4 separate regions of the Mus musculus genome follow, and regions 2, 3 and 4 are each reported to be linked to region 1. The links are microRNA targets in miRTarBase. Many come from high-throughput screens and were not tested one by one. Region 1 holds a microRNA gene; each other region holds the end of a gene's coding sequence.
The links. Region 1 holds the annotated microRNA mmu-miR-5125 (UCUGCCUGGGAUUUCCUUGU, at 1,734-1,753, opposite strand). A microRNA usually pairs through its seed, bases 2 to 8, with sites in the 3' UTR of a target mRNA and lowers its output. Matches are read on the target gene's strand: a 7mer-m8 pairs with bases 2 to 8, a 7mer-A1 pairs with bases 2 to 7 and ends in A, and an 8mer does both.

Region 1 (7,117 bases):
GTCATCATACCATTGCCAAGTCAGGCAACCAAGGTGGGGAGGGTTATGGCCTTGATGGTTGATACAAGTCAATGAATGGAAACGCTGAGAATCTTCTATACCCCTTCCCCAGATGACACCTTCGAAGCTCTCCGCATCGAGCCCTTTTCCAGCCCTCCAGAGCTTCCAGATGTGATGAAGCCACAGGATTCTGGAGGCAGTGCCAATGAACAAGCTGTGCAGTGAGGGCCTAGGCCTACCCCCTAGAGACCCATTTCCCCAATAAAAAAAATTTGGCTGTCTACCTGATTGACTTTTCTGTTCCCTCTTGTTCACAGAACTCTTAACCCCAAGTAAAGACTACAGACCAATTACTGCATTTCTCATTTTTATTTGACAGAAAAAGTTGCTTTTACTGTACAGATTTTAAAAAACCAAAATGCCTTAAACAAAGTTGGGGGGGAGAGGGCCTCACAACCTTGTAAGGGGGTGCAGCAGGGCCAACCAACTTCAGCTCCTTCCTCTTTCAGGAAAGATTACAACTTACCAAGTTAAACCATCAGTCACCCAAGAATTTAGGGAGCTAACTCCCTGGATCATCACAATCTGAGGCCTAGATGTCCTGAGCTGTGCCCCTCCCTCCCTAGACTCCCTCCCTCCCACTCCAACCCCCAAAACACAAGAACCAGGAAAAACTCACAGAGATCAACATTTCACAGGAACCAAAAAAAAAAAAAAAAAAAAAAAGGGTGGGTGGGAGAGGACGCTCTCCCCTCAAGATGCTGCCAAGGTTCAAGGGAAGGCATACAAAGACTCCTTCCATGATTCTTCTGGGAAAAATGAGGAATACTCATGTCTCCAGAGTATGAGGTGTAGTGGAATCCAGATTATGGAGACCTGGAATAGAGAAGACTGGTCATTCTGGGTCACCACACATATCCCTATCCCTAACTACTAGCTCTCAGAAGGGCCAGACTTCCAAGGAGACACACCTGGAGGAGCGGTGACGATTAGAACGGGGACTAGGTGTCTCCTTCCTCTTGTGACCAGGAGAGTGACTGTCCCCTCGCTGGCCTCTCCAGGAAACTCGCTCACTGCTACAAGAGGAGAAATTAGGTCACAGAACAATACCAAAAACTTTTAAATTTTGCTTACAAATTAATGGTAGCTAGTTGAGTCAGGTTGCTAGCACCTGCTATAGGCCCTACCTCTGTAGATCCCTTGGTGAAGGTTGGGGCGAGGGCTGTCGACGCTCAACGGGTGAGTAACTGAGGGATCGGGAATCCCGAAGGGAGTCTATTGGCTTCCGAGGACTTCGAGACCTAGGAAGCAGAGTAGGCCTCTATAGCTCCACATCCTCCCAAACCCACCAGCCAAGCATTCAGGACCACCCACCCAGGTCCTGACCACCAAACCTCACACCACACAGGGCCAGCCTCAGACCCACCTTTGTCCGCACTCACCCATCCGCCCGCACACCATCCACCGAGTACCCCAGTGGACAGGGCACAGGGTGCAGCGGGGGATGCAAAGATAAAAGAGTCCCTGCCCTTGGAAGAATTTTGTTTGGTAGTAAAGGTTAACAATGAAGGCACACACGCCCCCTACATAGGAAACAGCCCAGCAGGATGGATATGCATGGGCCTGGGGATCCAGAGAAAGGATGGGGACCTGGGCAGGACAGGGAAATGGCAGGGCAGTCTTCTCGGAGGTGCTGTTTGAATGCAGTCTTGCAGAACGAGTTCACCAGGCAGACAAGGAAATCCCAGGCAGAAGGAACAGCATGTCCAAAGGCATGGGGCTCTCCTTAGACTGCAAGGCGCTGGGTATGGCCGGAGCACGGGGCATGTGTGGGGGCGGGCAGGAGGAGCACAGGGCGGGCAAGGGCAGCTGGTGAAGAGCCTCACACGCCATTCCCGCAGAGGTGGCACTTTATCCTGCAGGCCACAGGGCGTTCCGGAAGGATTTGTGGAGTGAAGGGAAGTAACCAGATGTGCGTTTTAGAAAGATCCCTCTGGCTACGTGTGGAAGAGAATGGCGTGGAGGCAGGGAGACAGGGAGGAGGCTGTGGACAGAGTCGGGAGAAGATGACGGTGGCCAGACCAGAGCCCTGCAGCAGCAATGGGGAGACTTAGAGCTAGATCTCTGAGACCAGGCTGCTTGTCAGGGGAGGGGAGAGGGAGGAAGAATCCTATGACTTCCCAGATATGGCCTGGGACACCTCAGTTAGATAGTGCAGCCCTTGACCAGAATACAACACTGTGGGAGGATGGGAGGAGTCCGGCACTCCTTCTCCCGTACAACCAGTCACAGACGTCCACACGAGGCACCCCAGCAGGAACCTCACCCAGGGTCCCCTTTCTGGAGAACTCACCCCAACCCCCCTTCCACAACAGGCAAGAAAGCACTCACCTCCTCTCGCCAGGGGGTGGCTTCTTGGGGCTTGCAGGTTTGGGTAATGCCTGAGGGCCAGGCTTAGCAGGGGAGGGGGAGGAGGAAGAGGAGGAAGAAGAGGAGGAAGAAGAGGAAGAAGAGGAGGAGGAAGATGAGGAGGAGGAGGAAGAGGAAGAAGAGGAAGAGGAGGAGGAGGAGGAGCTGGAACTGGAGCTGCTAGAGCGCCTCTTCCTTTTGGCCGGGGTTGGTTCCTGAGGACGTCCCTCTCTAATAGCCTCCTTTGGGACTGGGGTGGGGCTGGGAACCCTGTGAGAGAAGAAAGGTGTCACAAGGAGACAAGATGCCCCAACCCCAACCCTACCTTCCTTGGCCTGGAGGAACGGCAGTGGGGGAGGGGTGCCTGAGAAAAGCCCTGGGAAAACACGAAGGCAGGCCAGTGAGTAGTACTTCTCTGGAGCAGTGGCACAGAGCTGACCAAACCTCTGCTAACACAAGCAACAGGCTGGGGCCCGAAGCACAAGGGATCAAGGTTAAACCTCAAGAATGTCCCTGATGAAGGATTAAGGCCCCTGGACTCAGATGTGGAAGCTGAAGCTGGGTGATCTCCTTCCTTGGAGAGCCGCAGCTTGGGGAGGCCCCTGTGAGTGCAGGTTGGCTGGGGAGGGGCCGTCCTGCCTGGAGGCAGGGAGAGGGATGGGATGACCTCTGAAGATCCTTCCAGCCCAGGGAGTTCCTCTTGAGGTCTAACTGCCATCCCTCCTGCTGTAAAATTAAGTCCATTTCCTCTAGTTCTGTCCTCTGTAGAGATGGAAAACTTATCATTATCCTCTGGAGAATTAACCTTTGGAGACTTTTATCTGTCCCATTCCTCCCCACAAAGCCCCCGCCCAACATTCTTTCTACTCCCAGCTTGAAGGCCAAGGTCCCCCATACTTTCTCAAAGCCAAGTGCTTTTGACAAGATTTCTCCCTCCCTACTCACCCACCCATTGTTAAGTCCCTGCTCCCTAGATCCCTTAATTGCCTCACCTTTTCAGTGCCACCTCAGGTTGAGCTGGAAGGCTGGAACCCTCTGAATCACTAGAACTGGAGCCAGAGGAAGAGGAGGATGACGATGAAGATGATGAAGAGGAGGAGGAGCTAGATGATGATGAAGAGGAGGAAGAGCTCCGACGTTCCTTAGCTGGTTGCAGAGCAGCCAATGTAGAAGGCTGCTGGGCCCCAGTAGAGGCAGGTGGCTCCCCACCTTCAGCATGGGATATCCCAGGGGCAGGGCCAGAAAGCATGCCATTGTGGTCACTAGCAGAGGATGTGGACTTCGCTACTGTCCCGGATGAAAGGGACTGAGACCCTGCTACAGGAGTGGTCTGGACAACTGAACGAGATTGGTCTGAAAAAGCAGATGGCACAGGGGACCGAGGCCGATCCTGTGCAGGAGGGAGAAGAGATTGCGAAGAAGCCTGAACCATTCTTGAAGCAGGGGAAGGAGCCCGCTCACGCTCAGAGGTCATTCTAGACTGGCTTGGGGCAGATGGTGGTGTTCTGGACCTGGCTCGATCAAGCATTAAAGGTGAGGTTCTGCCACTAACACGATCATAAGCAGAAAGGGGCACCCTGGGACTGGTGAGGTTTGCACCAGACAATGCTGGAGCCATCCTGGAACTGGAGAGATTTGTGGGAGCCAAGCCTGCAGGGGTTCTAGAGCCAGCAATATTCACAGGAGCTGTGCCATGCGCAGATCGAGGACCCACCACCAGGTTTGCGGGGGTTGGAGCCTGGGGTGTTCTGGAACTGGAGGGGTAATTTGCAGCAGTTGGAGGTGTCCCAGAGCCTGTGAGACTCAAAGCTGCTAATGCAGCTGGTGTTCTAGCTCCTGCTAGGTTCACAGCTGAAGCTGCAGGGGTTCGAGGATCTGCAAGGTTCACAGCTGAAGGAGCCACTGCTGTTCTAGGGCTGGCTAAGTTCATAGCTGCAGCAGCAGCTGGTGTTCTTGAGTCAGCAAGGTTCACAGATGCCGGAATAGCAGATGTCCTGGCACTAGCAAGGTTCATAGCTGCTGCAGATGCTGCTGGAATCCTGCTGGCAAGGTTAGCAGCTGGGGCTGTTCTAAGGCTCATGAGAGGTACAGGTGCTGGAACCTGGGACATTCTTGCAGCAAGGCCAGCAGCAGACATGGATGGAGGTGGCCGGGCAGTACCAAGACTGATGGCTGTCAAGGCAAGTGCAATTCTAGACTGAGCATGGTTTTCTGGAACAGATGATCTTGGGTGATCAGGAATCCGAGGACCTGGACCATCCATCATGGAGCCACCTGTTTGCTGTAGCACAGACATGGGCGTTCTAGCGCTTCCAAGGGGTTCAAGCATTCCAGGTGATCTACATCGGTCAAGAGGAGTTGGTGACATGCTAGGACGGCTAAAGCAACTCATTCTAGAGCTACTGAGTGCTACAGGAGGTGTCCGAGATCCAGAATGATTCCTTGTTGCTGGAGGAGTGGCAGAACGTGAACGATCAGAACTACTTCCAGATGCAGACCGCCTACGAATGGCTGGAGGAGATCTTGTTAAGGACCGCTTGCCTCGAGCTGCCCTAGGAGTACGAGACCTAGAACGGCGGCGGATAGCAAGTGGTGAGCGGCTTCGAGAGCGCTTGCGTGGCAACAGTGGTGTCCGAGACCTAGATCGTCTTCGAATTGCTGGCGGAGTTCGAGACCTGGAGCGTCGTCTTGTCACTGGAGAGGTTCGGGAACGGGACCGCCTCCGGGTGACTGGAGATGTTCGAGATCTCGATCTTCTCCGGGTGACTGGGGATGTCCTGGATCTTGATCTTCTTCTAGTAACAGGTGAAGTTCTGCTTCTAGATCGCCTCCTGGTTACTGGTGGAGTCCTGGATCTGGACCTTCTGCGAGTCACTGGAGGAGTCCTAGAACGAGAACGACGGCGAGTTGGTGTTCTGGATCTTGAACGACGACGAGTTACTGGTGGTGTTCTGGACCTGGATCGCCTTCGACTCACTGGGGATGCTCTTGATCGAGATCTACGCCTATTCACTGACCTTGACCGTCTCCTACTCACAGGTGAGGTCCGAGATCTGGACCTACGTCGGCTTATCAGTGGTGTTCTGGACCTGGACCGCCGATGAGTAGCTGGTGAGGCTCGAGATCTAGAGCGCTTCCAAGGAGCTGGTGATGTTCTTGATCGAGATCGCTTCCGACTGGTCAAGGGTGTCCGGGAGCGGCCTCTTCTGCGTCTAGAGGAGGTTCGAGAACTCTCCTGTCTGGTAGGTGATCTTGAATGGTAACCAGAGCCACCCCTCCGTCTCCGAGTAACTCGTGATCTAGACCGGCTCCTCTGTCTTCTTCGAGATGTTGACTGAGATGATCCAGATCTATCTCTGCGTCGGGTTGTTCTGGTTTTCTCTCTCCGTGAGCGGGATCGGGATCTTTGGAGTCCACGAGGTTTGGGTGAAGGAGACCGTCCTCTCCTCGAAGTTGTCTTGGTACGGGGAGAAGAAACTGAGCGCCTCCTCCGTGAAGACCTTGACTTTTCAGTTGGCTCTGGTGAAGATACTGAAGGACTTCTTCTGCGTCTTGGTGGAGTTCTGGAGCGGATTTCTGGTGATGAGGAGGCAGACCGGCTTCTACGAGAGACTCTAGCCTTCCTGGTTAGCTCAGGAGATGATCGAGAGCTCCGGCGTCGAGGTGGTGTGTGAGACTTTGTCTTTGGCTCTATTGAGGACCTGGAACCTCTTCGAGCAGTTCTGGATTTGGGGGCGTGTTCTGGAGAAGACTCAGAACTACTGCTTCCTTCAGGGGAAGGACCTCTCTCTTTGCTTGATGAACCTGATCTACTATGCCTGGGCAGGGCCCGAGGAGCAGGTATCTTGTGTTCAGGAGAAGAATCAGTACCACTCTGAGCCCTCTGTAGCACTCTTGGCTTATCTTTCATTTCCGGAGATGAGCCAGACCTACTGAGCCTGGGTGAGTGTCGAGATTTGCTGTCAACCTCTGGAGATGATCCAGAGTGACTCCTCTGTCTGAGAGGAGTCCGAGTCTTGGGTTTGGAATCTGGAGAAGAGTCTGACTCACTTCTTTCCTGTGGGGACGCGCTGGGCTTTCCATCAAGCTCTTGGGAAGACCCAGATCGACTTCTTTGTCCCGGAGAGGTCCTAGCCAGATTTTTCTGTTCTACTGATGATTCTGACCCACTTCTTTCTCTCTGAGGGGTGACACTCTTGTTGTTGCGCTCTGGGGATGATGGAGAATGACTTCGGGCTCTAGGAGTCTGAGGCAATGCTTTTGGTTCTGGAGAAGAGTCACATTCACTTCGTCCCCTGGAGGGGGTTTGAGGTGTATCTTTCATCCCAGGAGAGGACCCAGATAGGCTATGCCTAGAAGGAGTCCCAGACCCATCTCTAAGTCCTGGAGAAGACCCAGACCGGCTTCTCCTAGATGGCGTTCTAGGCAAACCATCTTTCAGTTCAGGAGATGCAGAACTACTTCTTTCTCTTGAAGGTGTTCTTTGTTGTACAGTCTCAAGTACAGGCGAAGATACTTTCTGACTTGAAAATAATCCTACCTTTTCCACTACTTCTGGGGATAACTCAGAACTGCTTCGCCTGGAAGACCTTGACTGTTCTTTCATGTCCACAGATGGATCTGCCTCTGTTTGATTAAGGAATGATCCATTCAATTCTTCTTTAACCTCAGGAGAAAAGCCAGTATTTACTTCTGAAACAGGGCCTGA
Region 2 (7,117 bases), not on the chromosome of region 1:
GTACCTGCACCCCCTTCAGTTTCTACCTCTTGACAGGGCCAGAGTCGGGGGCTCCGGACACCCGTATATCTAAACCTCTCCTGCCTGCTTACTACCACACTCTGTTTGTGCCCCGTAGATGCCCTCATGAAGAAGGCCTTCAGCTGCTCCTCTTTCAATTCCAACACCTTCCTTACCAGGCTGCTCATCCACATGGGTCTGCTCAAGGTGAGGCTTTGCCCCGCTCTGTGGGTCACTGAGGGAGGAAGCAGGGCTCCCAGGTGACCTTGGAGCTTCCCCCCCTTATTTGCAGAGTGAAGACAAGATCAAGGCCATACCCAGCCTGCATGGCCCCCTGATGGTGTTGAACCACGTGGTGAGGCAGGACTATTTCCCCAAGGCCCTTGCACCCCTGCTCTTGGCATTTGTGACAAAGTAAGTATCGAGGCCTTGTGTTCCCATCTGCCTGAGCTAAGGCTCGTGGGTGGGGTCAGTCCCAAGAGTCCCAGGCCAGCCCCCTGCAGAGGCCGGAGGACACCCCACCCCCACCAGAAAGTGGACCTTTCTGACAACAGAGCTTTCGGGATCCTAAGGTGTCCTTGCAACTCACTGAGCTGTCTTCTTCACAGGCCCAATGGCGCGCTGGAAACCTGCTCCTTTGCCCGCCACAATCTGCTGCAGACGCTATACAACATCTAGATTTAAAGGCAGCTGCTTCTTGTCCCTCGCCCTGCCCCAGTGACTGAGGGTCTTGGATGGACTGAGCTCGGCCAGCATCTCCATTGGATATTTTGACCAGAGGAAGGGAGAGGGTCTTGTCTCCTGTGTCATATTGGTCCTTTGATACTGTGTTGGTTTGGTGTGTGTGTGTGGGTATGTACTTCCTGTCTGGATTGCAGATCTTCATCTCCCTGCTGGACTAACCCAAGTCCACTGTGGGGAATTGATGCCTAGGGGAAGGGTAGAAAGCTGCTTTGTTATTAAACTTAGGCCAACTTAGCCATAGGCCCCGTTGGCTGTCCTGTCTGCCCTGCCTTCCTGTCCCACCAAAGCCTGGGGAATTCTGTGTGCTGTGTCCACCGTGCCTAAATAACAGAGGCTATCAGAGATGGGCTATCATTAGAAAGTAAAACTCAGCCGGGCGTGGTGGCACATGCCTTTAATCCCAGCACTCAGGAGACAGAGGCAGGCAGAATTCTGAGTTTGAGGCCAGCCTGGTCTACAAAGTGAGTTCCAGGACAGCCAGGTCTATACAGAGGAACCCTGTCTCAAAAAAACAAAAACAAAAAAAAAAAAACCTCTGCCCTTAACCATGTGACTTGGAGGAGCAGCCAGGGGAGTGGGAGCTGTCTGGGGTAACCTGGCTCTAGGACCAGGTGGAAAAAGCACCTTGGCTGGCCCAGCCCTGTTCTTCTCCTGGGGAGGGAAGGGCAGGTCCCCTAATGCCTGAACCACATGTTGGGCCTACTCTCTGAGGGTTTTCTAAGACAGGAGTGTGTAATAGGGATGGAGCCGGGTAAGAGATGCTCTGTGACTTCCCGAAGTGGCTGCTTGGCCACCTCCTACTTCCCGTTGTGTTGTGTGTCTGGGCTGTGCCTGGGAGCTTCACAAATAAACGTCATCTGTGTAGTTGCAGAGGCCCGGAAGCTTCTTTCATCAAAAGCGGGGACGACCCAGCTTAGGACAGAGCGAGCAAACAGGAGGACCTGAGCTCACATCTCATGAGCCATGTGCAGAGTGGAAGGACCATGTGTGTGCACACCAAGTGTGTCATAGGGATGGAGACCCTAGGGCGGGCGGGGTCCCGCCTCAGTCAGAGGGGCAGCCAATGTCTCCACCTGGGCCCTCAGTGCTGCCTCTGCTCTGGATGGTGTGGGCAAGCATCTCCCTGTGAGCTGCAGTGCTAAGCTGGTTAAGCCAAGTTCTATGAACGTGCACTTGAACTCTAGCCTGGAGACTTCACAGTACTGTCACAATGTGTGGACAATGGGGCAGTGGGGAGGGAAACCAAGTACTGAAGACTCTAAAACGTCTTGAGGTTCAGATGGGAAGCCAGCAGGATGGCATGGGACAGAGAAGAAGGGGTGAGAGGCCTGCTTACCTTTCCAGTAGGTGACATGAGGCTGATTCTCCTCCCATGTAATTTTATATTTATAATGGTTGAGCACACTTGCTGCTCTGAAATATTCAGTTAAGTTCCCAACACTCACATGGTAGTTTACTTATTAACTATCCATAACTCCAGTTCCAGAGAGTTGAAGCCCCTGAAGCTAGAGCTATAGGCTATTGTGAGTAGCCATGTGGGTCCTGGGAACTGAACAGCAAGGGCAATAAATTTTGTCCTGTGCATTGTTATCTTGGCTACATGTGTGCTTATGTGAGGGTATCAGATCTTGGGATTAGAGTTATGAGCCACCATGTAGATACTGGGGTTTGAACCCAGGTCCTCTGGAAAAGCTATCAGTGCTCTTAACCACTAATCCATCTCTACAGTCACAAAGCTGCTAGTTTTGTTTCTCAGGATAGAGTTTCTCTGTATAGCCTCGGCTGTACTGAAACTGCAGACCATGCTGCCCTCTAATTCAGACATCCACCTGCCCCTGCCTTTCAAGTGCTGGGATTAAAGGCGTGTGCCACCACCACATGAAGTATGAAAAAGATATTAGCAGTGTACACACATAAAATTGAGGGGCTGGGGAGATGCTCAGCAGGTGAGGTCATTTATCTCTAAGCGCAACAACCAGAATCCAGTCCCTGAGGCCCATGTAGTGGGAGGGGTGCTCCTGCTCTTTATGTTCTAATCTCCACAGATAGACTGCGGCTGTGCACACTCCTATACACATACATACCCTGTAAGCATTTCACATTACAAGATGAACCGGGCGGTGGTGGTGATGCAGAGGCAGGCAGTTTTGGCCAGCCTGGTCTAAAGATCAAGTCCCAGGACAGTCTAGGTTTACACAGGAAAACCCTGTCTGGGGAAAAGAAGCAAGACAAAAGTCCAAAAGGGAACAAAGATGTCAGTCAGTGCTTGCCTAACATGCATGAAGCCTGGGCGTAAACACACTGCACACAAGTGGAGGCAGAAGGATCCGAGTTTACAAAGTTCTCTCAGTTGCATATTGAGTTCTGGGCTACATGAGACCCTATCTCAAAAACTCAAAAAATAAAAGCTGGAAGGATCATAGAGTATGACCAAGGTAAGGCTTGGAGATGCAGGATAGTTCACAGCATTCTAATAACCACAAAGCTGGAGCAGAAACAGCTGAGGTTTGAAGTCAGGGCTGCAGTGTAGGCTCAGTGGTTCAAAGCATTTGCTGTTCCCACAAAGGATCCGGTGTGTTTCTGGGCACCCGCATGGCATTTCACAATTCTAGTCCTAGGGGATCCGAAGCCCTTTGACCTCTGCAGCGACCAGGCACACACATGTTGCACGGGTACCCATGCATGCGAAACATTCATACACTTAAAAGTACATAAAGCTAAAGAAGAAAAGCTGGTACCGAGCTACATGGTGATATTTTGTCTCAAAGGCACATGTGGAAGGCAGGAAGCTTGCCTAGGCTCACGGCCAGCCTAGCCTGGTTTGCATGGTTCAACTCCAGGCCAGGCAGGGCGGCCTTTAAGACTAAAAAACAAAACAAGGACTAAAAGATGGTTAAGTTTATATACTGCTCTTGCAGAGGGCCCTGAGTTCAGTTCCCAGCACCCACACATGGTAGCTCCAGAAGATCAAAGGATCTAATATCTGGCCTCTGAGGTAGTCAGCATTCATGGACTATAGCACACAGGTACACCTACTTTCAAATAAAAAGGTAACAGATTGCATATAGGAATATGGGGGGCGGGGGGCGTTAAGAGCACTGACTGCTCTTCTGAAGATCCTGAGTTCAAATCCCAGCAACCACATGGTGGCTTACAACCATCTATAATAATATCTGATGCCCTCTAATGCTGTGTCTGAGAAGACAGCTACAGTGTATTCATCCATAAAAATACTTAAAAAAAAAAAAAAAGATGGGAGGGCTAGAGAGATGGCTCAGTGATTAAGAGCACTGACTGCTCTTCTAGAGGTTCTGAGTTTAATTCCCAGCAAACACATGGTGGCTCACAACCATCTGTAATGGAATCTAGTGCCCTCTTCTGGTGTGTCTGAAGACAGCAATGGTATACTCATACATAAAATAAATCTTAAAAAAAAAAAAAACAGGGCTGGAGAGATGGCTCAGGGGTTAAGAGCACTGGCTGCTTTTCCAAAGGTCCTGAGTTCAATTCCCAGCAACCACGTGGTGGCTCACAACCATCTATAATGAGGTCTGGTGCCCTCTTCTGGTGCGTAGGCATACATGCAGGCAGAACATTGTATACATAATAAATAAATCTTTAAAAAACATGTAAAATTTAAAAAAACATATGGGCTGGAGAGATGGCTTAGCATTTAAGAGCACTGACTCTTAACTCTTCCAAAGGTACTGAGTTCAAATCCCAGCAACCACACGATGGCTCACAACCATCCATAACGAGATCTGACTCACTCTTCTCGAGTGTCTGAAGACAGCTACAGTGTACTTACATATAATGAATAAATAAATCTAAATATATATACATATATATATATATGTATGTATGAACCTAGCTATGCTAGCTCACACCTTTAATCCCAGCACTCAGGATACAGAAGCAGGTGGATCTGAGAGTTCAAGGCCAGCCTGGTCTACAGAGAGAGTTCCAGGACACTCAGGGCAGTTAGGGCTTCACAAAGAAACCAGGTCTTGAAAACTATTTTTTAAAAAAATGCACTTTTGGAGAGATGGCTAAATGGTTAATAGCCACACTTGTTACCCTTACAGAGAAGCCGAGTTCAGTTCCCAGCGCCCCTGTGGCCATTCCGCAGAGGAACAATCTGCAAGAGGCAAGAAGGCAGTTTGCTTCAACACAACCAAGTAGCTATCGATTCAAACTTTGGGGGAGTTTATTTTAGGCACACTTAATGACAACAATCTGTAAAGTACACGGACACGTTCAGAAGATCGGTTCTAGAGGCTGAGAAAAACAAGCTCACACCGGTCTGGGGGAGGATCCCACGTGATCTTGGCCACACAGATAAGTGTAAAGGTCACCCGGCTATTAACCAGCCTTCTGGGTGGGTAAAAGGTTAAGCATCCTTTCCTTTGAAGGAACAACCCAAGAGTTGTTCTAATGCTGATCTGTGAAATCTCTGTGCCTCCTACAGCTCAAAACCTTACAACAAAACAAAAACATGATTTGGGGCTAGGGAGAGGGCTCAGAAGTTAAGCATAGATACTGCTCTTGCAGAGGGCATAGGTTCAGAACCCACCTAGGAGCTCACAATAGCCTTTAAGTCAAATTTCAGAGGGTTCAACTCACTCTTCTGCCCTCCATGGCTGCATGAATGCACTTGATCTGCATATACTCAAGCGAGGAAAGGTATGAAATTACCTTACTGTTGTAAAAGCCAGAGAAGGCCCACAGCTCACACCCTAAAGGAGAAAACGGAACTGCTTGGGTGTGGTGATCCACATGGTTGGGGAGTGAGGCAGAAAGATTGCTGTGAGTTTGAGAACAGCCTAGACTGCAGTGTTCAGAGTAAGATTTCATCTGGGGGGTGGGGGGGCAGGAGGCAAAACTTTACAAGACAAAGATGTCCACTTACAAGTGGTGCATACCTTTAATCCCCACACTTTGGGAGGCAGATATCCAGTTCAAGGCCAGCCTGGTCTACAAAGTGAATCCAGGACAGCCAGGGCTACACAAAGAAGAAACCCTTTCTCAAACAGAAAATAAAAGCGCATACTGCTCTAACAGAGGACCTGAGTTCCATTACTAGCACCCATGTCAGGTAACTCACAACTTCCTGTAACTCTAGCTCCAGAGAATCCAGTGCCCTCTTCTGAACTCCCTGGGTACCTACATTCATGCACATACCCACACACATAATTTTGAAATAGGGTTTCTCTGTGTAGCCCTGTAGTACTCTGTAGACCAGGCTTGGCCTTGAACTCAGAGACCCTCCTGTCTCTGCCTCCTGAGTACTGTGGTAAAGGTGTGTGCTATCTATCACTGCCTGGATTTGAGCTCTGGAATTTAAAGCCAGCTTATGAAATAGAGATGCCATCTGAAAAGAGAGGAGGAGGAGGAAGGAGGAGAAGAGGAGGAGGAGGAGGAAAAAAAGGAAGAGGAGGAAGAAGAGGAAGAAGAGGAAGAAGGAGAAGAGGAGGAGGAGGAAGCGGAAGAGAGAAGAATGGAATGGCACTCATTGTTTGGACCAGAGAGCACACGTACTTTTCAAGAGAAATGAATTTTAAGCTATTCTAATGAATTGCCGTAGGATTGCCCTTCATCAACAGCTGTACTACCGGCTTATACTCCATAGAAATGAAAGCAAAGATACAAATGAACACTGTGCACTAGTTCTTTAGATCTATTCTCAGGCTAGAATCAAGAGGTAGAAGCAACCCAGTGTCGCATCCGCCAGAGGACTAAGCTGAACAAAGCAAAGCCGCTCATACAAGGGAGGTCCTCTGCCACAGAGCCGACGGGACTTCCGTTGGATATAAAACGGAGGTGGAGGAGATGAGTAGTTAAGCTCACTTACATTTAGTATGTTTGTGGTATATTCATCCATACATTGGATATTTTGTAGCAATAGGAAAGGCTTAGTTTTTTACATCCCTGCCCCCTGGCCTTGAGATAGGCATACACCTTTTATCCCAGTCGTTGTGAGTCAAAGGATGAGGATCTTGTGTTCTGAGTACTCCTTGGCTACAGTGTATTGAAGGCTAGCCTGGGCTATGTGAGACATTCTTAAAATACACCCAGGCATGCTGGGCAGTGGTGGCGCACGCCCTTAATCCCAGCACTTGGGAGGCAGAGACAGGCAGATTTCTGAGTTCAAGACCAGCCTGGTCTACAGAGTGAGTTCCAGGACAGCCAAGGCTATACAGAGAAACCCTGTCTCAAAAACCTAAATAAATAAATAAACCAACCAACCAACTACGTATCTCAGTGGTGATGGCACATACCTTTTGTCCCAGCACTTCAAAGCTGGAGCCAGAGACAAGAGCCATCTCAGATGCATAGCAACTTTGAATCCACCCAGGATTACACAACACCAGGA
Region 3 (7,117 bases), not on the chromosome of region 1:
GCATGGATGACCAGCGCTGTCCCCTGGAGGAAGGCCAGGCTGGGGCTGCTGAGGCCACAGCTGCCCCATCCGTGGAGGATAGAGCAGGTGAGTACAGTCTGGGTGAGGTCCACCAGCCAGACCCAGCACTATGTCTGGGAGCCCCCCAACAAGCAGGCTAGGCTGGCTGCAAAGGGCCTCTGTCATCCAGAGCTCCCTCCACACTTGTCCCTGAAGCTGCATCCTGGGAAGTATGTAATTACCCCACCCTGAAGAACACGAAGTGTCTATGCATCCCAGCCTTTGAGTGTGTGGGAGGCCAAAGCTTTCTCCTGTCAAAGTCCTGGGAGGCAGGGGTGGGAGGCAGGGCAGGGGCAAGATGGTTAGAGGCAAGCATCGGAGATTTATTAGGGCCATATTCTGTGGGGAAGACTGGGCCAGTCCCAGATGCCAGCACCACCAATGGCCCCCTCTCCAGCTCTCACTTTCTGCCCTTACAGCTCAGTCCTCCGTGACAGCTTCACCACAGACAGAGGAGTTCTTTGACCTCATTGCCAGCTCCCAGAGCCGCCGGCTGGACGACCAGAGGGCTAGCGTAGGCAGCCTGCCTGGGCTACGCATCACCCTCAACAATGTGGGGCACCTCCGAGGCGACGGGGACGCCCAGGAGCCGGGGGATGAGTTTTTCAACATGCTTATCAAATACCAGGTGGGTCTGCCCTCAGAAGGCAATGGGTGGAGCTTCATGCAGGCCCGCCTAGTGGTGGTCCTCTGCCAGCTGCAGAAGACACCTAGCTGGACCACAGCAAGCCCTGTCTTTGCTGTCTCTGGCCTCATCTGAGGGATACCTGAGGAAGACGCATAGTAACAAGTACAGCCAGAGTGAGGGACCATCCTCAGATGCGCAGGCTTGAAGCCCTCCTTCTGCCAAGGGGCCAAGGACCTCCTGAAATAAGTCTCAGCATACTCTGGGGCCGGAGTTCAGCTTGGGGCTGCCAGGTCCCCAAATCCAGGATGTCTGTTACAGGCTTCCACATCTGGGCAGAGAAAACTGAGTGTCAAGTGGCACCTTGGAGTTGTGAGGGAGGGAGAGAGGGAGGGAAGGAGGGACAGAGGGAGGGACAGAGGGAGGGAGATCTGGGATGTTAGTGCTGGCTGTAGGAATGGGAGCAGAAACGGTCCTGAAGAAGACCACACAGCATGGGCTGACAGGTGAGATGGAGAGCCTAGGCCTGGGAACACAGAACCAGGGCAGAGCTACCCATGGATGGGTTCCACTGTATGGGATTGGGTGAGGCTGGGGTGCTGCGAGCTGAGCCACCTACCAAGGCCTGGCAGCAAAGGGGGTGGGTGGTACGTTTATCCTGCTGGCTAGCTGCCCTCCAGCAGGAGCAGGTACATGGTGGGGAGTAAGCAGGGTCAGCATTCTGCCTGTGTATCAGGCTAAGTTTCCAGATCAATGTTCATTCTCACAGAGGAGACAGAACCACAGAATCGTCCAGACAGCCTCCTCTAAGCCAGCCCCTCCTGAGAAGCCTTGCCCACTCAAATACCTGGGCCATCAGCTGCACCGGCTCCACTCCCATCTGCTCCAGGCCCTGAAGAGAAGCCAACACTTTTCAGGCCCCTCAACCTCCACATCAGAACAGGCAGAGCCTGTGGTGTCAGCTGTTGATCCAAAGGCAACCCTTGGTGGGGTTGGGGTTGTAAAGTAGTGATGCTAATTTCTAAGCAACAAGCTCTGAGCTGCAGCCCCCAGGCCCTCCAGGGCAGTCCAGGGCAGTGCCAGGGTTCAGGGTAGTTCTAGGGGTCTAGTATCTGGATCAACAAGTCCCAGAGTTGGGCCCAGTGGCTGCTGACTTGTTCTATGACCAGAATATACGACCTAGCCTTTTTTATTTGGTTGGCCAGCCACAGCTCCGAGTAAGTCATCAGGCGATGCTGCCAAGGCAAAGCTTTTAGCATTACCCCAGAGCCAGGGGCAGGAGGTGGCTGAAATAGGTCCCACTTGGATTACATCATTCTTCCCAAGCCAGTGTTTGCTGTCTTCAGATTTCCAATAAGCCCATCACCTTCCCAGTGCCAGGATAGGTCCATAGGCCCTCTAAAGACCCAAGAAATACAAGACCACCAACCTCCATTGTGTGTCTGCCCAGTCCTCCAGGATTGATGACCAGCGCTGCCCACCCCCTGATGTGCTGCCCCGTGGCCCTACCATGCCTGATGAGGATTTCTTCAGCCTTATCCAGAGGGTGCAGGCTAAGCGGATGGATGAGCAGCGTGTGGACCTTGCTGGGAGTCCAGAGCAAGAGGCCAGTGGGCTGCCTGATCCCCAGCAGCAGTGTCCACCGGGTGCCAGCTAAGGCCTCGCCCCTACAGCCAGCCATACCCTACTCTGGACTCTGTAGGCTCACGGTTGTCCACAGTGGCCATGATCCCCCAATAAGCCAAATCTTCCCAAGGCCATGATGGACAGCCAGCTCAGCCCCAGCCCCTTCCCACTGAGCCAGATGGTGGGTGCACAAGGCCCCCCCATCCCAGGTGGTGGGTGCAGGCTAGAGCTGCTATATGGGGGAGGGCATGCTTCTGTCCCCATGGATCTCCACAGCTTCCTGCAGGCCTGCCCTGCCCTGCCCTAGGCCGGGCCTTCAGCATGTTGGCCCCGAGCCCCGGTGCTGTCCAGAGTCTTTTCCCTCAAGCCCTGCCCTGCCAAATGTGAAACTCTGCCAACTCTCCCAAGGCCCCCAGAGGGGCTTCAAGGACTTCTTCTGGTGGGGGCTACAGTGCTAAGGCATCTTCTGTCCCCCAGCTGGTCCTGGGATGGCTATGAAGGAGGTACACTCTGATCTGCCTCACGACCCCAGGGCAGGCACTATCCTGGCCTGGCTGTGCCCAACCCTGCTGAGGGAGATTGGCAGCTACAAAGTCCAGACACCCTGACCTGGTAGTCCCCAGCCTTGCACTTGGCCTTTGAGGAAAGATGGAGCTTGCCCCTGGCAGAGGGGAGAGGCAGGTCTCCAAGCATAGGGTCTTGTACTAGGAGTGCTGAGCTCTGGCTGGTAGTGGACGTTCATGAGGGATCCTCTCAACTAGATCCTTCAGTCCTCTTAGTGAGCATCTACCTTCTATTACTAGGGAGATGATATCTTGGCTTTCTCCCCAAGGAGGGGTCCATATCTTAATTGGACACAGGGCACTGTAGTTGGGGTGGAGACTCAGCCAGAACTGCCGGGGCATCCATGAGACAGACCCTTCGGGACCGTGGTCCTAGTTCTTGCCTACAAGTCCTATAGGTAGCCCTACTGGAGGGCTCTGTACAACTGTCTAACCCAGGGCCTCTTACCCAGAGGGCCAGGGCAAGGGAAACTGAGGACCCAACTTCTGAGAGGGAGAGGCAACATCACTCTGAGAGCAGAAACAGATACTAGAGCACAGGGTCTCGGGCGGGACATGGTGGCCGCCCCGCATACTTGAATGTACATGCGTATTTATTGCTTACATGTGTTTGCCATGTTGTTCATGGGTCCTTTCTGACCCGAGAGGTACATTTGTTTTGTTTTACCCAAAAATAAAAGTCTGCCAAGTGAGTGTGGCTTCTGTTGGAATTTGTGTCAGCCTTCCCAGGACATGGTATTGGCTTACCCAGTGCAGTGTACAAGGCCCCTGAGATCATGCAGCATGTCTCTGCTGCATGCGACAGTGAGAGGCGGGGCCAGAGCCGCTACTGCTGCTTTCTCTGCTGTTCTCCATTATGCTGACTTTCCAGAGACAGGAAACAGAAGCCAGGGATGTCACAGTACATTGGTAAACACTCAGGACTAGCCCTTCCAAGCAGCCTCCCCGCCCCCGACTGGATTGGACCCAGCCCCAGAGCTTCCTATGTCTTAGCAGTTCCCATTACAAGCGCTGGATTATGCCAATCTAAGCCACAGAGGAACTTGTCTTCAATGTTCATGTAGTGGGCAGCACCCCATGTAACTCAGATCCTGATTGGGCCCTTTGGGGAGTGTCCTGATGGGCCAAGGGTAGCAGAACATAGCTAAGACCAGTAAAATAGCCTAGAGAATTCTCTATCGTCTAGAGCACTGTGGTTGCTCTAGAGGCAGCCACGCTTCTGGGCAGGCTGAAATTGCTCAGGTGCCGGGAGGCCAGCTGCCAGAGATGGCTGCCATGGGAAGGGGATGTATTGAGAGAGCCAAGCCACCCCACAGGAGTCACGCTGGTCTGGCCAAGAGGTGCTGTGATGTTGGGGTGGTACTTTACTTAGTCTCCACTGAAAGGGAGGAAGGAATGGAGAACTAAACTAGTCAGAACAATTCCAGGCTGTCAGGAACCTGGCCACATGATTGGGAACTGTGGCCCGTGGTGAGTCTGCAGAACACGGTGAGGTATGGACTCTGCAAGAATGGACTATGTGGAAAGTGAAGCTTCAAGTGAAATCCTGATGCACAGGAGACCCTCCCTGGGAAGGAGGCTCTGGAGCAGCAACAGGCAGAAGGCACACACACACAGGAGGTAAGTCCAAATCATGGGCTTCCCATCTAGAGGAGATACGCTAGATCCAGCTCTGTACTGTCAGGTCTAGCCAGCCCCAGGCCTCCGACAACTCTGGCCCAGACACCTGAGGACGAGGCAGCCCAGCCAGGCTCCACTGGTTCCTGACTTGAAGGCCCACAAGCAAGGCAATCGGCTCCTCTGACCTCGGTGTCCTCCACAGGGAGCAGGCTGGAGTCGGAGGCTGGCTCTTCCTCCAGGATGTGACAGTTTGTACAAATGGCACAGGAGGCTAGGGTGGGGATAATAGCAGGGTGTTTGCTGAGGGAAGGACAGGGGGTAATCGAGGGAAGGCACAGACTGCAAGTGCACCCGGCCTCCCAGGGCCCAGAGTGAACTGCTAATCACTAGCTGGGGTCCCAGGAGCCAGGGAAGCATTGTGTCCGTGTCAACTGCCTTCTCCACCCCCTGTCCCAGGATCCCCCCTGCCAGATGTTGAAGGTCACAGGGCCCAGAAACTCCCACAAAAAGCCTGTTTGTGCATCTGCTTGACTTCCTAAACACAAGACTATCCCAAAGGCATGTCAAACCAAGTTAGGAGATGAAGCACACACAAGGCAAGCATGATACGGCCCTCATCACTTCCATGCATCTCCTCTTGGACCTCAAGACAGGAGGATTGAGAGGTGCAGGCAGCTCATGGGTGGTGTGGTGTGTGTGTGTGTGTGTGTGTGTGTGTGTGTGTGTGGTGTGCCTCTGCCTGGATCACTCCCCTAAGCCTCTGAGCAGCGCTCTGCTCCTCGGCGGCCACCCAGAGCAGCCAGTTCTGCTACAGAAACCAAACCTCAGGGCTGGGCTGGACACTAGCTCAACAACAGAAGCCACCAGGGCTGGGGGTGGGGTGGGGGTGGAGGCAGGTCATATAGAAGGAAGAAGTAAAGAGCTCTGAGGAACAAAAAACCACCTGAGGCCACGAGCCTAACTCAAGACCAGATCCAGCCCTACTTAAGAAGGAGACCGACTGCACTGGGACAAAGCCACCCCCGAAGCCACCACTGTGGCTATCATGGGTGGGCATGAGGCTGGGCTCCTACAGCCACAGAGTTGTTCTGACTTCACAAGAGAAAAACAGGAGCCCAGGCCCGGTGCCTGGAGGTGATGGCTTTTTACTGACAAGGAACAGCAGCAGGCTTGTGAGGCTCCAAGTGAAGGGAGCGACTTTTGGGAAGACTGGAGTCTGCAGCTGTAGGAGTATGCAGATCAGCTCTGTCCCATCTTGCCAGGGTTGGGGGGATCCTCATCCCCTTCTGGGGTGTCAGGGGGTACAGCAGCCTCCAGAATCAGTTCCAGGGCACCGTCACCAGACACTCGGCGTACCTCCTCTCCTCTGGCTGCTAGGATCTCTTCAATATTCCTGCAAGACAGTAAGAGCAGCATCAGCCTTACTCTGGGCTCCCTCAAGGGCATCCCATGGTCATCTTGGGCCTGGAACACTTGTCCCAGCATCCAAGTGACACCAGTACCTTGCAGGCACCTAATGGCACCTTCACCAAATGTATCTGTTAACAAGTCCTCAGAAGCCATCTCTCTCGTACAGTGTACCACCAAGGGCCGTGGCCCTGCCTCTCACCAGGTAACACCCATCCCTGCATTTCAGTCTTGTCCCTACATATCAGAGCTGAGATTTCTCTGCAGTCCAGGTCTAAGAGGCGAACCCTAGAGACCCAAGGCCTGCACACTTATCACAGGCTATCTCCTCTGTGGCTCTGCCCTTACTCCTGCCACTGATCCCTCCTCATAGAACATTAAGAAGGCATCAGGCACAGCCTCCAAACTGACTCCTGGCCCTCCCCACTGCTCTCCCAAAAGTGGGAACACCACTGAAGGCTGCCCCAGTCCATAATCTGACACATACCCTTCCATCTGCCCTGAGTTGGCAGAGGACAAAAAGCCTCCACTAGAGATTGATAAGGCCCCTGGCGAGATCAGAGGTCAGGCAGTGACAGAGGTAGAGCCATAGAACTAGTTTGCCATATTTGGGGCCATTCATGGTTCATCTGAAGTTCAAATTCAACTGCTTCCAGGTCCACGTGGAAGCTGGGCTGTCCAGGTAGAGAGATCCAGGCAATGGATCCAGGCTCACACAGGGCCACAATCTTACTGTCTCCTACCCCTCCCAGCTGGCCTCACCTCTTCCCCTTCAGGTCAGAGAACCAGCTTAGGTTGTCTGCGATGATGTGGTGGTTCTGGCAACCAGGGCAAGTCACGATGACCACGCCCTGGTGATAGGCCAACTTTGAGATGCGCTTGGATGACCGAGTCCCACAGACCTAGCTGGGTTAGAGAGGTGGTCAGGCAAGGCATACACAGGAAAGTCTCTCCCAAGGTCTAACTCCATCCCGAGGGACAGCCTCAACCCTTTCTCTGATGATCCCACCTAGGCGACGGCGTCATTTCTAGACGCCTGTCTCCTGATAACCCAACCTAGAAGGCCCTGTGCCTCATTCCCACCCAGCCATTTGTAAAGACTCCGCCTCCTCCCTGGTCCGAAGGATACTTCCACGTTTCTGCCAGGACCCTACACCAACAGGAAACCAGCCAGCACCAGGTGTTGCCGACAGCGCCCACCTTGCAGGTGTAGACG
Region 4 (7,117 bases), not on the chromosome of region 1:
ACTTCCTCTAACAAGGCCACACCTCCTAATCCTTCTGAAATAATGCCACTCCCTGATGACTAAGCTTTCAAATATATGAATCTCTGGGGCTATGCTTATTCAAACTAGCACACACCATATCAATTATATTGTGTATTAGTTACTGAGATTTTTCAAGTGATTTGAAATGTGTTTAACTTTGGAAGTCTTTTGTTTCTGTTGTTGTTGTTTGTTGTTGTTGCAGAGACAGGGTCAGGCTAGAAAACACTGCTTGAAACGTACTATGTAGCCCAGGCAGCCTTTAACTTTCAGTGACCCTTTGCCTGTGCCTCTCAGTGCTGGGATCGTAGCCTATTTGCTTTTGTAATTACTGCTTGTGCATTTCCGAGTTCCCACATTGTAGCTGTATATGTATATGTATATGTATATGTATATGTATATGTATATGTATATGTATATGTATATGTATATGTATATATTGTTGATGTAAAGTATATATTCTGGATTGTACAAAATTGATCCCTTGTAGATGTTCTGAACTTAAAATAATTTCATAGATTTTCTTTTGAGATGACATGCTAAATGTGTTAGAGCTCCTACTGGCAAAGTAGGTCACATGATTCTCAGTGTAATCAAAGGAACTTGCTTTGAGAATACATTTATTGCTTACTAGTTATAACAGAGTGGTCTGAGCAGGACATACAGATAACTACAAACCAAATACATCACTTATATGTAACTATAGCATCTATAGCATGAACTAGTTTGCAGTTGTTTAGCACATCTACCAAAGTAGATGTGTTTCAAACATAGTGTCGGGGCAGTGTCTGTCTTGTTTGTCTCTGCATCACTAGCATAATAGCTGGTACCTTGAAAGTGTCAATAAGAATTTTTATTTTACTTTATTATTTTTATGTGCATGCATGGGCAATTTGCCTTCATGTTAGTCTGTTCACCACTCATGTGCCTGGTGCCCTTGCAGGTGAGGAGAGAGGACGTTGGACTCTTAGAACTGGAGTTTCAGGCTGTTAGGACTTGCTGCAGGAGTATTAGAAATTGAACTGTGTCTTCTGGAACAGCAGCCAGTGCTCTCAACAGCTGAACCATCTTTCCAGTCAATAAGTTATAACTGGTTGGGAGATTAATTCTTTAGAACATTTTAAAAGTTGCCTCGTGTCATTTCCCTTTCCATAGAACTACATACATAACATACAATAAAATATTAAAATTATGGTATGTTACACAAATTTCCCACAGCTCTAAAACACCTAAAGAGAGACAGAGAGATGCATAGACTTGCCCATCATGTGCTGCTAGCATTGAACTTTGGTAGAGCAGCTCAGATGCCACGTTAAGCGGCATGAACTCCTCAGCCTTTCTCTCTCTGTTCTTAGAGTTTAGTTTATGCAATTTAATGAATTATTATCTGTGTAGGCAGTGCTTTGCACCTCCTTAGTAAACCACAGTTACCAACTTCCTTCTGATCAATAATCTCTGTTTTTCAGATGTAGTAGGCTTTAAGCTTAGAAATGAGGTCATATTCATTCCTAGAGCTCAGCACCGTACCTGGCGTGATATTTAATGGAAAATTATTATTTAAAAACTATTTGGGAAATGTTATGCAGTTTTGTTTTGTTTTGTTTTTGAGATAGGATCTTACCCTGTAGCCCTGGCTAGCCAAGGTCCTATTGTGGAGCCTGTTAGCACTCTGTCTAAACTCTACCCCACAGATACCTGACAACAGCAAGGTATGCTCCACCCCACAGTTACCTGGCTGTTGCCAGGTAGGCCTGACCCATTATAAAAGGAGTTGCTTGCTCCCTCCTCCCTCTGCCTTCTTGGTCTCTTGCCTTCTTGCTCCCGCTGTCTTCTTACCCTGTCCCCTTGCCCCTTCCCCATTCCCTTCCCCCCTCTCTCCATGTGCTCATGGCCAGCCTCTACTCCTCTATTCTCTCTCTCTCTCTCTCTCTGTCTCTCTCTCTGTCTCTCTCTCTCTCTTAACTTCCCTCCCCATGTCCTGAATAAACTCTATTCTACACTATACAGTCATCATGTGATTGTTCCCTCAGGGGGAAGGGATGTCTCAGCATGGGCCCGCCGAGGCACCCGCTTCCTCCATCCCTCACCACACCTCCATAGAACATATCTCTCCAACCCCCCTTAGCTTTATATAAACACATCAGAACCCAGGATGTCCTCAGATTTATGGTGATTCTCCTGCCTCTGCCTAAATGATAGAACCATGTGTGAGGCACCAGCACACAGTGTGTAACTAAGGTATATGTAGTCACCAACCCAACAGTTACTCTTAATACAGAAATAAGGCCCTTGACATCACTGAGGTAACTTGTAACTCCTCTGAAAAACTGATTTTTCATGGTGATTAAAGAATTCGTCATGAATCTTGTCCTAGTTACTTTTCTATTGCTGCGAGAAGACACCAGGGCCAAGGTAAACTCATAAATGGAAGTGTTTGATTAGGGGGTTGCTTACAGTTTCGGAGACGAGTCTGTAATCATCACGGGGGAAGCATGGCATCAGGTAGGCAGGAAAGCAGGAGCTGGAGCAGCGAGTAAGGATTTAGAGGTCTTATCAGATGAGACTAGGCCTGGTGTGTGGGCTTTTTCAACCTTTAAGCCCGCCCCCAGTGAGACGCCTCCTCTAACGAGGCTCCGCCTCCCAATCCTTCCAATACTGACGCCAACAAGGAACCAAACATCCAAACCTAAGAACTTCAAGTCCTGGCACATGGACTGCAGAGAGGACCATCATGTATTCTCCTCCAGCTTTATAGTAATGCTCACCACTAAAACATTTCTCGTGTTCTCCTTCATCAGCACAGCTCAAGCTGACTGGAGGACAATTGCTTCTGAAGTTTCTGCCTTAAATGGTGAGATCCCTTTGCACCAGGCAGTACGAAAACTCAACAGAAGTGAAGGGGGATATGTGTTTATGATTTTAAAAACATACATCCACCTGCAAACTTTCACGTGGCAATATTTAAAGATCACATGCAGACTCTCAGTCTCTATACCTGGAGCAGCAGCTCCGTGATGTACCGGGTGTGGGGAAAGCACTCTAGGCTCAACCAGGGACATTGTGCTCACTGAGTAATTATATCAGAGGCATCTCTTTAAACAAATAATTTAATATCTGTTGCCGCATTTATCATGTCTTAAAGCGCATAACTTCCTCAGGGTTCCAATGTATAACAAGCTCTTTTGGCTTACACAGTCAAAGACCTATTCCAAACATGGAGATAAGCTACATCTCTCACAAATACACGCTTCTACTTGGAATTAATGCCCCGAAGGAAAAAAAAAACCAATACATTTGTTTTTACTTTTATTGACACACCAAAATTTGGGACAAAAGTCAAATTAACTATCGAAGGGAAAACCCTTCCTGTGTAAACATAGGGTAAATCGGGTTGGTTTTCAAGTAAGATCGTCAGCCTTGTGATTCAAGAGGATTTTAGGGTGAACACGGCGTCAGACTCATGCTTGGCATACCACAGCATGCTGCAGAAATAGGATGTCACAATGCAGGTTATGAGCTATCCCCCCAAAGTAATCAAGCTCCACAAATGTACGCCTTTTCTAAGGAAAAGATAAGTAGTTTGATAGCCGGAGCTATACTTCATTTTCCTTGTTATTCTTTGTCCTAGTCATAGAAGATATTTCTCAGTGGTCTTTATGTTCTCACAAGGATGCCTGTGAGAATATCAGCTCCGGTCTCCTGTGGGGCCAGTTTGGAAAGAGTCGGATTGTACACAACACAAATTCACATCACATTCTCCCTCTAAGACAGAGGGTATTTGGTCTCAGAAAAAGTAATTCAGAAAATCAGTAGTCACCAAAAAGCTACTGGAAAACAGATAGTTTGTCCTGAAACCTTTACCATTTAAATTTCACGACTAGATTTTAAGTATAGAATTTCAGACATCTTTAAACCACTGTGTAATGAGTTTTATTTATTTCACCTCAGCTCATTGGTAAAAATCTATTAAATAAGGTCTAATTACAAATCTAGTTTTGATGTTGGCATCCTTTGCAAAGCTTAAAAATGTAAGATATCATGTCTTACGTGGTTTAATTTTAAGTTGTGAAAAAGCATAATTTCAAATGTGAACTTTGAATTTTCCTCTTGTGCCTTTCAGAGCTAATGTAAGACATTTGCTTCAAATGTTTCCCCTTTATCAAATAACCTGGGTAGCTGCTAACATGGTTGTTAAAGATTAGTGAATTGTTTTTTTAAAAAAATCAAGTGTCAATTTCTGGTTCTATACTTTTACTAAACAAAATATTTAATTCTTCCCCCACATTTTTAGTAAGAAGTAGTAGTAACAGACAAATTAAAAAGTACTGACTGGGACCTCATATTGTATTGCTTCATGTAAGGTGGGTACATTTATTGGTAACTCAAATTACATACAATTTGGGGAATTTAAAATGTGGAAATGTGGTAATTTCTTACAACAATCACTGTGAGTGACTTCCAGGTAGTCTGTCTTCCAAACAGTCTATTGCAAGTTAGCGTCGGCTAAAGTGCTGCCTAAATACATAAACAAAATCTTATGCCCCTAGAACTATTCATCTCAGGTTTTTACATACCTCACCATAGCCTGAGAGAGGATGAGATTAAAGCATCAGTTATGGCTCTGTACTTCAGATGAGCTCTATTTCATATGACGTACTCATATAGGGTTTTCTCTCGTCATGTTCAGTAGTATGAAGCTTCAATTCACTGCCCTTCTGAGTGCCGATACTGCAGACACTTCAGCATTGGGTGGATATACATAGGCTGTGGTGTGATGTCGTTCTTGATTGATTTTAAGTCAAAGACTGATGACCATTGCATTTGCGACTTGTTTTTATTTCTTGCAAACAGTAATAAGTGATAATAACATCAACATTGCCAATTTCAATATCCTTACTATCTTTCAGATTTATTGACTTTTTAATGTTAAGAATGTTTTGTCTGCATGTATGTATGAGGACTTCATGCATGCAGGGCTCCTGAAGTCCAGAAGAGGGTGTCAGATTCCCTGGAACTGGAATTAGACACAGTTCTGAGCCACCATGTGATGCTGGCAATAGAACTCGGGACCCCTGCAAGAGAAGCAACTGCCATTCCTCCATGCCTTAAAAATATTTATTCATCTACTTAAATTTTTTCCTTATGCCCTGCTTTGCCTACAATTCCATTTCTAGACATTTACCTGGCCCACATAATTTTATTTTTCCCGAGACAGGGTTTCTCTGTGTAGCCCTGGCTGTCCTGGAACTCACTTTGTAGACCAGACTGGTCTCGAACTCAGAAATCCGCCTGCCTCTGCCTCCTGAGTGCTGGGATTAAAGGTGTGCGCCACCACTGCTTGGCTCACATAATTTTTAAATTGACATTATATCCCAGTTAAATTTAAGGGTCAGTAGTGATGAAAGCACTGAATCAGGGGGTCACAAGACCTCTATTGATCTCTACAGCTCTTTCCAAATAAATCATGTGACTAAAGTAAATCTGAGTGTCTTTTTTCTCAGAAGAAAAAGGAACAAAAAACTTGTATGCCTTAAAAGATTGCTTCAAAGGCAGAGTATAAGAACATAACTGTGATTTCCAGGATCAAGGAAACTTAGGACAGCAATCAAGTTTCTAAAATGCTTTTTTGTGGGCACAAAACAAGCAATATTTCTGGGTAGAAATTGTACCAGATAGCACTGCAGAGTCAAGCAACAGCCAGAACAAGCATTGTTAGGATCCTCCTCTTCCGTATGGGTAATTCTCTTTTTAAAAAACAAAAGGGCTTGTTTTTAAGCAAATACACTTTTTATTCGTGTTAATTTTTGGTATCTGTATCAAGATGCTGAAAGTATGAAAAATTTAAATACAGTACTTTATACTTGTCCAGCCATGCTTCTTTTCAACCACTGTCATTAAAATGCACTTTTTTTTCAGACTGAAATTATGTATCAAAACGCCTGTTATTTTGTACACAGTTTGACTTGGCCCCTAGCAATGCTGATTATGGATTCCAGGTGTTGCACCTATTGTCCTTGTTAACTGGGCTGAAAGAACCCTCAAAGTCCTAATTCTGCACAGCTGACATCAGTCCTCCTGGTGCCTTTGCTGCTTTGTTTTGGGGCATTCTCCTACATGAAGAACCTCAGGCCACTTTCTCCTAGTCCTAGAAAGTCCTGCTTTACAGGTGAGTTAGCTTTTCACTGGGCACTAACTGAAGTCATGACTAATCTCAACTAATTTGTTTGCTTTTTTTGTTTGTTTGTTTGAAAAGTCTTCATATATTTCCTCGATGCTAAAATCATACAAAATACTTTTTTTTTGCCGGCTTGCTTTCTCTGCACTTAGCTTAACATACTGCATGCAGTAAAGAGAGAGTCTCTGAGGCTTCACCTAGAAGGTAACTGAAAACATGTCAAGATAAATTAGGATGTCTTTTCTGCAGTTTGGATTGTTTTCAGCACCGAGTCTTCCCCCAGAATTTTGCATAGTTCGTTGAGTCTCTGTTGCATTTTGGGAATTCCAGCGAGCTGCGACTCCAACTTTTGCTTTTCCTCACTCAACGTTAAACGGATAGCAGTGTCCAACTGTTCAAAGCGCCAGCCTCCTTCGCCATCGAATTGTAATAGATGAGTGTGGTATTTCCTGTGTGATTAAAACAAAGTGTAATCAGTCATAATCCTAAAAGCCGTTTCCATTATAGAGCTTTCTAGCTGATGTTCAGAGACAAATTTTAGTGGATGTGGCTATTTTACATTTTATTTCTAATGTTATCTCAGATAAACAGTGGAATTGCTAAAGTCTAAAGTCTTTCATCTCTAAGAAATTCTTCTTGATGTTCCTGAATTTTTCTTTCATATTTTGAGTACATATAATTTACAAAGGAAGATTATTCTTGTATTAATTTACCCTCATAATATCTTCTGAAGAAATATGTGTTCTGAATAAATAACGAAGCATAGTTAGAAGAGAAGTAAGGAAAGGGAATTGGGGAAAGAGTAAACTTTTAAAGATCATATCGAAAAAAAACTAAAGAAAACAAAGAAAACACAAAAGAAGCTTATTTATACATAATACCACCCTCTGGGATGAATTCTACTTAAGTACAACTTTCTCAGTA

Region 2: the mRNA of Rangap1 is a reported target of mmu-miR-5125. Seed matches in the 3' UTR shown: 8mer at 1,166-1,173.
Region 3: the mRNA of Dnlz is a reported target of mmu-miR-5125. Seed matches in the 3' UTR shown: 8mer at 5,229-5,236.
Region 4: miRTarBase lists Abcd2 as a target of mmu-miR-5125. Seed matches in the 3' UTR shown: 7mer-A1 at 5,313-5,319.

The regions. Positions count from the first base shown.
Region 1 is chr17:23,817,975-23,825,091 of GRCm38, reverse strand. It overlaps Mir5125 (microRNA 5125), which reads right to left and starts at 1,801; the gene lies at 1,723-1,801. It overlaps Srrm2 (serine/arginine repetitive matrix 2), which reads right to left. Exons shown (of 15, transcript NM_001368687.1): 11 at 3,402-7,117; 12 at 2,392-2,679; 13 at 1,188-1,301; 14 at 972-1,076; 15 at 351-876. The coding sequence ends at 867. It overlaps Elob (elongin B), which reads left to right. Exons shown (of 4, transcript NM_026305.2): 4 at 113-352. The coding sequence ends at 225.
Region 2 is chr15:81,698,750-81,705,866 of GRCm38, reverse strand. Rangap1 (RAN GTPase activating protein 1) reads left to right here. Exons shown (of 16, transcript NM_001146174.1): 14 at 119-207; 15 at 293-414; 16 at 609-1,619. The coding sequence ends at 678. Among named protein-coding and RNA genes, the nearest start is that of Chadl, 5.0 kb to the right of the region's middle.
Region 3 is chr2:26,344,672-26,351,788 of GRCm38, forward strand. It overlaps Dnlz (DNL-type zinc finger), which reads right to left. Exons shown (of 3, transcript NM_026828.3): 1 at 7,102-7,117; 2 at 6,664-6,803; 3 at 3,447-5,887. The coding sequence ends at 5,734. Gpsm1 (G-protein signalling modulator 1 (AGS3-like, C. elegans)) reads left to right here. Exons shown (of 14, transcript NM_153410.5): 12 at 1-87; 13 at 480-688; 14 at 2,136-3,566. The coding sequence ends at 2,342. Among named protein-coding and RNA genes, the nearest start is that of Dnlz, 3.9 kb to the right of the region's middle.
Region 4 is chr15:91,142,564-91,149,680 of GRCm38, forward strand. Abcd2 (ATP-binding cassette, sub-family D (ALD), member 2) reads right to left here. Exons shown (of 10, transcript NM_011994.3): 10 at 3,308-6,642. The coding sequence ends at 6,423. Among named protein-coding and RNA genes, the nearest start is that of Abcd2, 46 kb to the right of the region's middle.